3 linked regions of the Mus musculus genome follow. The protein of the gene in region 3 purifies or fractionates together with the protein of the main gene of each other region. This does not show direct contact. Links are inferred from orthologs where the notes say so. Each region holds a gene or a part of one and is shown on either strand. Other genes may lie near its edges.

Region 1 (3,650 bases), on a different chromosome or scaffold from region 3:
TGGACTCACTATGTACACCTCAAATACACAGAAATCTGGCTTCAAACTCACAGAAATCTTCCTGCACCTACTTCCTAAGTGCTTCGTTTTAAGCTGTGTTCCACAACACCCCCGGCAGTCAGTTAATTTTAAGATGGAATCTCAGTAGAGCAAGGAGACAAGGAGACAGGCTGGGTGCTAAGCACTGGGACTAAAGAACTCCAGGGAGGTGCCACTACCCCCTTTTGTGCAGATCTGCACCACATGCAAAGTACCTTACGGATTTAGCTTTTAAACAATTACTCTGAACCAGGCTCAAGGTGTTTGGCTCTATCTACATGTCAGAGAAAGCTGTTGTTACCACATATAATCTGGTTAAGAGGGAACACTACTATCTGTTACTACTATGAATTCAGACACACACTATTCTTGAGAAATAGCAATTGGTAATCTCAGAAATTTTAAATAAAAGACCCAAGAACTCTGCACACAGTGCTTGGGGTGACACAGCTCAGCCTGGTAATTTGTCTGTTCTCCCAGCTGACCACTTGGCTTCAACATGGATGCCTGTCTGGTTTCTCTTCCCCAGTCCGTCTTCTCAGCTGATGCTGGAATTATTTTCCTAAAATGCAGCCTTTGATTTTGTCATGTTCTCTTAAGATTAGTGGCAAGTTTTCACTGGCTACAAACTAGAAAGTGTTTCCATCCTGGCCTGTGTGTGCTCTCCATCCCTGAAACCCCATCTGGTCTCACTAACACCCACCGTGTGGGTCCACCCTGGCTCCTAGGTCACTCTGGACACCTTATTTGTTGCCATCCTTACTATGGTTGTCTCTCATTGTGGTTTGCCTCACAGTAGCCTTAGCTGTTTCTTCTCTTTTGCTTTCAAGATCAGGAGGACACAGATACACACCATCTCCACCCCATTTCAAAACAGGGTTGGAAGTTGTGCTAGGCAGGAAGACCAGTTGAGCCAGCAGATGTGACAGCCTTGCAGAGCCCCTGGCTGAGGTGGGACCTTGGTGTGTACCCTGACCTGCACTGTCTTTCTCCCTCTCAGGCCATCTCTCGTCTCTGTGAGGACAAGTACAAGGACCTGAGGAAACCCATGAGGAAGCGTTCAGCAAGTGCTGACAACCTGATTCTGCCAAGGTGGTCTCCAGCCATCATCTCCTAACTGGGGCACTCTCCTGAGGCTGTGCTGTCCCTCAGTTTCTCCTTTTGTTTAAAGAAAAGATGAACTTGGGTGGTTTTGTTTGGTTTGGTTTTCTTTTTTCCTTCTGTTTTTAACAATAGCCTCATCGAGGCTGCCTTCAGCCCGCCTCCACACTTGGTGGGTGCACGCAGAGCGGCTTTAAGGGACGTGAAATCAGTATTCAGGAAACTTGGTGTCAAGCCTTCCCGGCCATCATGAAAAGCACTTCTTTCATGGAGGAAACAGACTCTAATCCTGGAGAAGGAAATGAAGGAAAAGGAAGTTGTGTTAAGGGATAGATTACTTGGTAGCTTTGCTGTTTCTGGGTCCTTGTCTGGTCATAGATACCAGATGGAGCCAGATGATAGGTAGCAGAGTTGAATGCATCTCCAAATCGGGAATGCCATGCTATGCCCTTGGAATCTGTGTGCTCTGTAAGAAAGACTTCCTGCATTCCTTCATGCTGCTCTCGGGATTGGGGATGGGGATGTTTGTTCATTTTTATTCTGGTTGGGTTTTGATTCCTCAGAGCAGAGAGTATAGTTTGTAACCACCATGGCACAGACATCCAAATAAATAGTACTGATTGTTTATCTCTGCTCCATTTTCTCTAGCCTTCTTCTGAGCTTTCTTCCTCACAAGTAAGATGTGCTTGTTGTGTTTCTACACACCTGTTATATATGATTCTCTTTCAACAATAGCAGGATTAACTTGACTGTAGTACTGAACCAAAACTATCCCTCTCCTGCCTAGTTCCAAGAACATTCTATCTAGATTAATATGGGTGCTTGTGCCTTCCAGTTTTCTTGCAATTGGTTGTTCTTGGTTTTGGTTTTGTCACCTCCTCTCCATCCCAGGTTCTCTTTTTCTGCTAACATGAAGGTGTAATTACAAAACGCACTCAGACTTTGTGGCTGAAGGCAAAGGTCCTCAGCACAAGCATCTTGGATAGAGAAGCATCCGGGGAGCCAGGTTTCCCTGACCTCATGAGGAGCCATGTCCATGTGCTCCCTGCCTGGTCATTCTTCTACTTCCATGTCCATTGTTGTAAGCAATATTCTCCTTGAATTTTATATGCTTCCTTTAAATCAAATTTAGTCTATTTGTATACAATTTTTTTAAAAATCTAAAATTTAGAAAATGGGGAGTGGGTGGGTGGGTATCCAGTGGGAAGATCACTAAAAGGAAAAATGTTACTATTTCCTGAGGTATTTTTCACAGAATGATTGAATAAAAAAAAAAATTCAACTTGCATTCTCATTGTGGGTGCTTGGAGAAGCTACACAAACTGTGAAGGTTCATACTTCCTTACTTATAACCAGCTTTTGTGTTTTCTGACTGGTTTTGGCTTGTTTGGGGAATAGATTAAACTCTTCTATTGAGTGCAGTAAAAGGGTTAGAGGTAGCTATCAAAGAGAGAGTCTGACATGAAGTCTAAGAGTCTGAGTCACACACAAGTGCTTTGCTTCTGCCCATCTTAGGTTGCGGTGACCGAGGTTTGTGAGGTTTTCCTTGTTTGAGATAAATTCTAGCATTTGCTTTATCATATACTCCTCCTGTGTGAGCGTGGAAAAGTTTAGAATTGTATGCTAGTTTTGAATGCCCTAAAATCATATGCCTGACCCCTCTCAATAGAGCACACTTTGAAGATGGAAGGAACAAAATATCAAAATCCCAAAAGTATGAAGCCACAAATGTTAGTAAAGAGTCAGTGCAGTTCTTGTGCAGTTTTGGATGCAATATGAGCAAATTCTAGCCTAAACTTGCAAAGCAGGAAGTAAAAAATTAACTACCCTCCTGTTGCCTCTTTGATGATTTGCTCTGAGTGGGAAAGGGGATCGGCTTCTCTCCTTACAAACCTTAAACAGAGGTCGAAACATGTAGAAAGTGTCATTTTGTATTCCCTCATCTCTATAACTCTAGAAGGGACCTATTTTCTTAGCCAAATATGAATGCCTCTTAGATGAATCCTTCCTCTCATGTAAAGTACCTTATCTTACCAGCCCATTTCAGGAAAGAACTGCTGGCTTGATAGCAGAAATCTTATTTTTATTCCTTTTATTTGAATGGGAGATTTGGAAATTGACTTATGTAAATAGTTCAATGCACCTGATACTATTTTGTGGAGTTTATTAAACTACTTTAAAAGATTGTACAGTGTATTCGTTGTATGTGTGTACACACAGTCTGGTACCTGACATTCAACAGTGACTCTTTATAGCCTGGCTTGGTTTTATTCAGACTGTTGACTATTGTTTTCAAGCCTTGTACACTGGACTCTACCTCTGAATAGGAAGGTTTTCTCTTTGCATCAGTGAGTGTTAACTGTATTAATTGGTTGTATTTCTTGCACTAAGGATTTCAGTTGTACTGTTTAGTCTGAATTACTAGGCATGTAAGTATAGGCTCATTTAATTTTTCTATACAATAATGAAAACTTATTTTTGTTTTCTGGGTTGTTCTCAGGTTGCCAAAA
Region 2 (3,650 bases), on a different chromosome or scaffold from region 3:
CCAACCCAATTTCACAGCACTGGTGCCCACAGGGCGATTCTGCTCATGAACACAGCACATGGCTTCTTCTGAGTCTAACTGATGGTAAAGGAGGAGGTAGTCACCTTTCCTCAGGGCCAAGCATCTGACTTATCTCCGTGCATCTGTTGTAGGGGCAGTGAAATCCTAAATGCTACAATAACATGCACTATGTGAAACAATAGTCTTACTACAGGCCTTCTCAATGGATAACATAAAGGCAAGCATATACCTGTAGCTTAGCAAGTTCACAAAGCCACTCTAAGAACTACTGTACTATAATCCTGGGCAACTTCATAGGCAGAAATAAGTCATCAGCAGAGGTAGATTAACACCCATCATCCAAGGGTCAGAGAACTAGACAGTGATCCAGCATAGCATACAACAGAAGGCCCTGAGGAACACAGCCTGGCATGAACCTTAAACTTCAGCAAATCAGACTGGTGAACCACCTGCGCTTGTTACTGCTTTCCCCTCCTGCCCCATCAACATGCCCATATATGTGTACTGAGGCATGATGGGAGAACTCTCTTACTGCCTTTAATAGCAATTTTTTTTTTTTGTAATAAAGGCAATGTAACATTTTTAAACCATAAAGGCTGTTAAATTAACAGTCATTCCTTCAGAAGGTTCTTATTAAAGGTTTTATGATCATTTCAGGGATTAAACATATCTGGGTACAAGCTTTTTAATGAAGCTTGGCAGGAAGCTTACCAACGTCACTATTGCACATTCCGCTGTCAGCTGTGCAGCACTAAAAAGTGTACGAACAAATCTGTAAATAAATTTGTGTTCAGGGTCATGCTTAAAGTACTCCTCTGGAACTTTCTCTCTCTGAAAGAAAAATAAATGAATAAATAAATATTGACTGAAGGAAATCTTTTAAGTATTCTTAAAAATACTTGAGTCTGTCTCCACATTGTGCTCACCTGTTCCTTAAGATAATTTCAATTGGGTAGAATGATTGTGTACATTTGTATAACTATGTGTATGGGCATGCACAGCCACAGTGCACACACGAGGTCAAAGGGCAACTTTGAGAGTTGGTCCTTTCCCTTTACAATACTGGGGGTCAAGCACAGACCCTCAGGCTTGGCAGCAAGTGCTTCACCTGCTGAGCCATCTTGTTTGTATGCTTGTCTTGAGACTTCCTCCTGAGTGCAGAGGTTAAGAGTGTGTGTCACCATGCCCAGTGACTTTCATTGTGCTTTCAATATAAAGAGTGTGGCATCTTATGGCAATTGGCAAGAATGACCTTTTCAGGCAATGATGAACTAAATACATAATACCAGTTCCGTAAACCATCAGTGTGTAATACTACAGCCATCTTAGATGAAGTACTCTACAATTTTTGCAGAACAAAATCACCTAATACATATTTGAGGATGTACCCACTGTTAAGCAATCTATGGCTATACTACAACTATTCATACCCACCCATCCTTTATAAAAGGACACACGACCACAAGCACAGGAATGTCAGATATACCCTTCCATTCTCCTACCCAGGTTTTTTTTTTTTTTTTTTTTTAATCCTGAAATCATACTGATCTTAAAAGTGTCACAGGGGTGACAGCTGTTTGCAATATACTTTGGGGGAAAAAAAAACCCAAAATATTTTTAGTTTCCTATAACCATAGGCTCTTCTTAACATTGTCCATATAACAGCCAACAGTATGTGTGTCAAGTATCAAGACTGGCCAGCATATGTCTGGTGAAGTGACTTCTTAAATTTTTACAGGTTCGACTGACTGGTTGTTTTCAAGTTAGGGCCTTACTAGGTTGCTCTTATTACTAGGTTGCTCTTATTACTAGGTTGCTCTTAATACTAGGTTGCTCTTAATAGGTAGACTGTCTTTCAAATCACTAGTCAGCCTTCAAGGTACTGAAATTACAGATAGACCCATTTTAACTAATTTAAAGTTTCCTTATTTCCCTTTTTTTAAAACATATTTGTTGAATTTGTTTACAGATATTTATATTGCTTGATGTTACTTAAAGATTATCTTTTGAAAAGCTGAATTTTCTATTATTTAAGACAATACACTTATTTCCCTTGGCTCACTACTTAAGCAAAGCATCAAGGCAATTGTTACTTTATCATAGCCACGGCACACTCCTAACTCAAGCTAGAGGGACTAATTTTCTCACAGTAATCAGCTACATAACACGCAGACAGAAACAAAACACAATTCTAGGAAAGAAAAATATAATTTTAAGAAAAGCAAACAGATACTTACTGTGAGAGGATGTGACCGCTCATCAAAAATGTCCAGGGATCTATTTGCATCTCTGTAAAATGTAACAATACAGGACGTTAGTAGTGTCTTAGTTAACAACTGCTAGATGTAGGGTGAGGCCGACGGGGGAGGCCAACCTTTAACAAGGCAAGCGGTTCTTCCTGGGTTTAGCCAGCGCTGCGGCACCTTTGCTATGAGTGCTTGCGAAGCACTGACACGCTTAGCAGTGCCGATAAGCACGTTATCCTTCCTCCTCATAAAGGCAGCAGTGGACATGAAGAACTTAGAACTTTGATCAATGTGAACAACATTTAAATTTCACAAGTTTCTGCCTTTCTTTAATTCTCTGATTGTTATATGTTTAAGATATACACTTGCTTCTTATAAAGAGTATTAATTAAAACGTCGCTGCCCCCCTTTTTTAAAACACACAATGGTGTGTGTGTAAAAGTTCATCAAACAAATAAAGTGCACTCATTTAAGCACTGCTTCTCTGAGGTCGTGGACTCAGGAGAGTCCCTGAGCCGGAGGCACACGGCCTCCAAAACCGTTCATCATATACATGAAGCATTGCCTGCTTCTTATGCCTGCCGACTGTGAGCGAGTGTGAACGAGCTGATCCTGGCATGGTCCCGGCTGTGCCAGCCGCCCCCCCCCCCCCACAACTGCACTGCACTTGTTTCCTGAGCCTGCTTACGTCTTTGATGAAACAGGATAACTAATGTCACTAAATCCTGACCTTTCTTTTTTAATATTCTGAATGTGATTTACTTGTGAACTCAACCAGCCCCTTATTACAGAATATCACTTTCATGTGTAACTACAAATACTCTCAAAATTGAATGTAGTAACTTGTCACTTTGAGGAAAACATAATTTGTCATGATAAAATTCAAGCTGTCAAGCTCTGTAAAAGCCAAGCTTGGGACCTTGTGCCTTCTGCTATGTGTCTTACAGCTTCTCCGTGCTCACACTTTCTGCTAACATTATAATAAGGGTGACTCATTATTCTCCATATGACCAGGATACATCATCCAACTATGCACTAGTAAAAGATACACTTATTAAACATTTGCACATTTATACAATGAGTACAGTGTTTAAGAGTTCACGGAGAGATACAAAACTCTATTACAATGAGACACCCTTAGTGTAGTGCTGTAGAGCATCAAAAAATCTGAACGCTTTAAAAATAACTTTCCGTCAAATGTATATGTGTGAGAACTGGTTTCTTGGTTCTTTAAAACAAACTGAAAGAAAGACAGAGAAACAAGGAAATCTATTTGTCTTTCTACCAAGACCTACATTAAAATTTATAGATATGCAAATGAAATATTTTCTCTCAATTTTACGTAGGAAAGTCATTTGAAAAAATTATGCTAACAAGATGGCT
Region 3 (3,750 bases):
TGGCCGTGTAACAGAACCTAGTTAAGTAAGACTGTAGAGGACAAGATGAGGTAATTGAAAGGTGTAAAGAAAGCCTAATTAGAGGAGCTTGTACGCGAATATTAGAGTGAGGCAGCAAGAAGCTCCGCCCAAGCCAAAGTTCCAAACCTGCGCCTTAGTGGAGTCTGCCCCCTCTAAAAAGGCCTTTCCTTCTCAGCCTAGGTTTCACCACACCAAGAAGCTGCAGGAGAATGTGGGAATGGTTAAAGGAGGGAACCGGCTGACTGAGTGGCCTTTGGACCAATTATCTTACGGGATATTCAGCGATCTCCTGAGAAGCGCTCAGAACAAAAAGGCGAGCCCGAAAACCAATAAAAAACCGTACAGAGGAGGAGGCAAGCTGAAGAGAAAGCTAGATCATGCTTCTTCAGCTTTGCCACGCCCTTCATTCTTGCTCAGCCCTGACGCAGGGAGCAAATTTGATTGGCTGAGCGTCAGCTTTTTCAAAAGGGTGGGGCCACATACGTTTCACAGTGGGTAACAAACTAGTGGTAGAGGGTGGGTGGCAGGGCGGGGCTAGATTGTCCTAGCTAAGGTGGTAATCCAGGCCACCTCTCCTAGAAAGTCATTTCCAGCCTTTAAATTCTTGCCTCCCGAGGCACCACAAAGGACTGGAACTGCTTCGCTCACCTGTTCTTTTTCTCCTTGCAAAAGTCCCGTTTACCACCATGGGGATGTACCAAATGAGACTGTAGGGAAAGAAGGTGGTGACTGGCACGCCTGGCTACTGGCTGCTGCTCACCTCGATGCTAGTAAATTTCTAGCAAGATCAAAACTATTAACCCCTCTCTAAATCCCCCTGGCGCCGTTCCAGGGCCAACGCCACATTCCCTGCTGGGCACGCAATGGCCGCACCCCCTCCCGCTGCAGAAGGCTCTTTTGGTACACGCAGTCCGAGGTGAGTCTCCTCCTTCCTGCTTCACACCCCACCCCCAGCGTGTGCGTGCGCATGCGCGGAGCGCGGCGCGCGCGGCTGTTGGGCCGCTGGCTGGGGGGCTCTGGGATATGCTGCGTCTCCGCTAGCTGTCTGCTGTGAGTCACGAGCCGCCGTGAACACCCGGATTCCAGCGGGCGCTTGCGAGCACGGGGGCATCGCCCGCAGTGGCCAAGCTCATGGCCGGCTGAGCGGGACGCCGCCGCCGCCTCAGCCGCCGCCGCCGCCGCCGCCTCTTCCTCCTCAGCCGGCGGCGGCCCGGGCCCAGCAGCCATGGCCGAAGACTACTGGGACGGGCGCCTGCGGCGAACTGGAGGAAAAGGAGGTCGCGCGGCCTCATCCCGGGCCGCCGCCCCAGGCGCCACCGCGCCGGCCCCGCGGCTCTGAGGTTACTCGCGCGCCCCCTCCGGTGAGCGTGTCCTCGATACTTAGGGTGGGGGCTGCTCTTCCTAGAGAGCCAGCCGGACCCTAGGCAGTGCTGGAACAAGACCAAGGGGTTCTGGGCAGCTTGTCTGTCAGGTGCCCCCTCCCCCTCGAGTTTCCCAGAATGCACTGGGGGGTCATTTGGGGCCTCCCTGACCTTGGCCCCGCCCTGGGCCCCTGTCCTGGGAGCTGAGGATGGGAAGTGCTGTGGATGCTAAGTGGGAGAAGGGTGATTAAAGGACTAGCGTTATGGGAATGGATTGATACAGTGAGATTCTCGGAGTTGCTAAAGGGCTAGGAACATGTAATAAAAAGCCTTACGACTTCAGGCCCAGTGTGCTTATGGAAAGGGGTTGCAGGACCATGAGGGACGTGATGGGGTATAACAGGGTTTGAAGTAAAGACAGTTCCAAAACATTCTAGTGGAAGTTGGAGCTACAGAGAGGCCCAGTGTAAATGGAGAAAGGGTGGTAGAGGTACTACCAGAAGGTGTGCTGATAGACGCATAGTTCCGAGTGTGTGGTGATGAGGGTCAGGATAGTGTTAATACTGTGTTTATCCACGGAGTTGAGGGTGGCAGCTTCTCTGGGTCCAGGGTGTGCTCATAGAGGAGGTAATGGAGGGTCCTGGAGATGAGGGTATGTAGATGTAATAAAGGTAGGGTGAGATCAGTATATGCCAGTGAAGGCAGAGCTTTTGAAGGACCTGAGAGTGTGTGTAATGGGAGAGGATGGGGAAAGGCCTGTACTACTGGGTTTTAGGTGTGTGCGTACATGTGTACGGGAGATTGTCAGTAAAGGAAGTATAAAGAGCTTTGCACACTAAGGGTCAAGATGAGGTGTGAGTGGATGTCCATAAAGGCTTCCAGAAAGCGTGGGGGCAATACTATATATGAAGTTCTAGAGCACTGGTTCTCAACTTAGAGGTCGAATGTCAAATATCCTGCATATCAGACATTTACATGATAATTCATCACAGCAAAAGTACAGTTATGAAGTAGCAACAAAAAGAACTTTATGGTTGGGGGACACCACAACATGAGGAACTGTAGTAAAGGGTCACAGCATTGGGAAGGTTGAGAACCACTGTTGTAAAGGCTGCTGCTGTGGGGTTAGATAGATACAGACACTTAAATGTATGCACGCTATTAGGGGAAGAGCACAAAGTAAAATATGCTGATGTACATCAAAACGCCTTTTTTCTCTCCATGGGCCACTGAAGTGTGCTGATTTGAGGAGTGCTTCAGAAGTAGAGTTTTTTTGGGGGTGAGGGGTGGAGAATCTAGTGGATAATGAAAGGAACAGAGCTATGAAGGAAATCAATTGTGAACCAGAGAAATGGTGGTAGGAGTGGTTGGTTGAAGCAGGGAATAGGAGTAGGTACTGGTGTGCCAAAGTGAATTGGAGTCATGAACTGAGATGTATGTTATTAGGGGTCAGGGTCAAATGGAGGAGCTGCATTCACTAATGAGAGTCAGTCTGATACAGAATAGTGCATTTCTCCCTGGAGAATAGGGCTAAGGAAGGGTTCAAGGTGTGCTGATAGAGTTAGGACTGTCAGGGTCAAGATACAATGAAGATTAATCTTGTGCTGAGGGAAGGAACTGTGCACTGGAAGTACAAGAATGTATGTTAACAGCTGGGCGTGGTGGCACACGCCTTTAATCCCAGCACTCGGGAGGCAGAGGCAGGCGGATTTCTGAGTTTGAGGCCAGCCTGGTCTACAGAGTGAGTTCCAGGACAGCCAGGGCTACACAGAGAAACCCTGTCTCGAAAAACAAAACAAAACATACAAACAAACAAAAAAAGAATGTATATTAACAGTGGTCATAACTCTGAAGGTAAGGGCTAGAGAGATGGTTCAGCTGTTAAGAGCATGTGCTGCTCTTCCAGAGGACCTGGGTTTAGATCCCTGCATGCACATCAAGAGACCCATAACTGTGAAGGGACCTAAGTGTGAACCAAACTGGTCAGGGATTGTATAAGAATCACAATGTACTGAGGATTCAGAGACGTGTGAAAGTCCAGAGAATGCTAATTTGGGTCAGCAGTAGAGCACCCTGAATGCATGTTAAGGAGGATCAGAATCCATAGGGGACACTATTATTGGGAAGGACAGTGCTAGAGAGAGGCTAACAAGCATCTAGGCTAGGAAGGGACTCAACGTGAAGGTGGTAGGAGTTACTTAAAAGGGGCAAATATATGCCAATACAGTTGAGGGCAAGGTTTTGAGTGCTGAAGGGAGTTAGACGTTGTGAATGTTAGTAGGAGTTAATAAATATTGAGGGCCTTCTTGGGGATCTAGTGTGTGCTTTTAGAGGTCAGGACAGAATGGAGCATGTGTAAGTATGGTGG

What was found.
Region 1: the proteins of Cdk16 (region 3) and Ccny purify together in Homo sapiens (affinity purification with mass spectrometry; 3 studies listed by BioGRID and IntAct, counting the BioPlex papers as one, with this or other methods). This does not show direct contact. The link is inferred for Mus musculus from reciprocal best matches to the Homo sapiens genes CDK16 and CCNY.
Region 2: the proteins of Cdk16 (region 3) and Ccnyl1 purify together in Homo sapiens (affinity purification with mass spectrometry; 4 studies listed by BioGRID and IntAct, counting the BioPlex papers as one, with this or other methods). This does not show direct contact. The link is inferred for Mus musculus from reciprocal best matches to the Homo sapiens genes CDK16 and CCNYL1.

The regions. Positions count from the first base shown.
Region 1 is NC_000084.6:9,314,062-9,317,711, reverse strand, and holds part of Ccny (cyclin-Y), read left to right. Parts: intron 1-1,039; coding exon 1,040-1,156; 3' UTR 1,157-3,650. UniProt on the Homo sapiens protein: Positive regulatory subunit of the cyclin-dependent kinases CDK14/PFTK1 and CDK16.
Region 2 is NC_000067.6:64,711,771-64,715,420, reverse strand, and holds part of Ccnyl1 (cyclin-Y-like protein 1), read right to left. Parts: intron 2,311-3,650; coding exon 2,259-2,310; intron 853-2,258; coding exon 733-852; intron 1-732. UniProt on the Homo sapiens protein: Key regulator of Wnt signaling implicated in various biological processes including male fertility, embryonic neurogenesis and cortex development. Activates the cyclin-dependent kinase CDK16, and promotes sperm maturation.
Region 3 is NC_000086.7:20,687,425-20,691,174, forward strand, and holds the start of Cdk16 (cyclin-dependent kinase 16), read left to right. Parts: upstream 1-1,001; 5' UTR 1,002-1,382; intron 1,383-3,750. UniProt on the Homo sapiens protein: Protein kinase that plays a role in vesicle-mediated transport processes and exocytosis. Regulates GH1 release by brain neurons. Phosphorylates NSF, and thereby regulates NSF oligomerization. Required for normal spermatogenesis.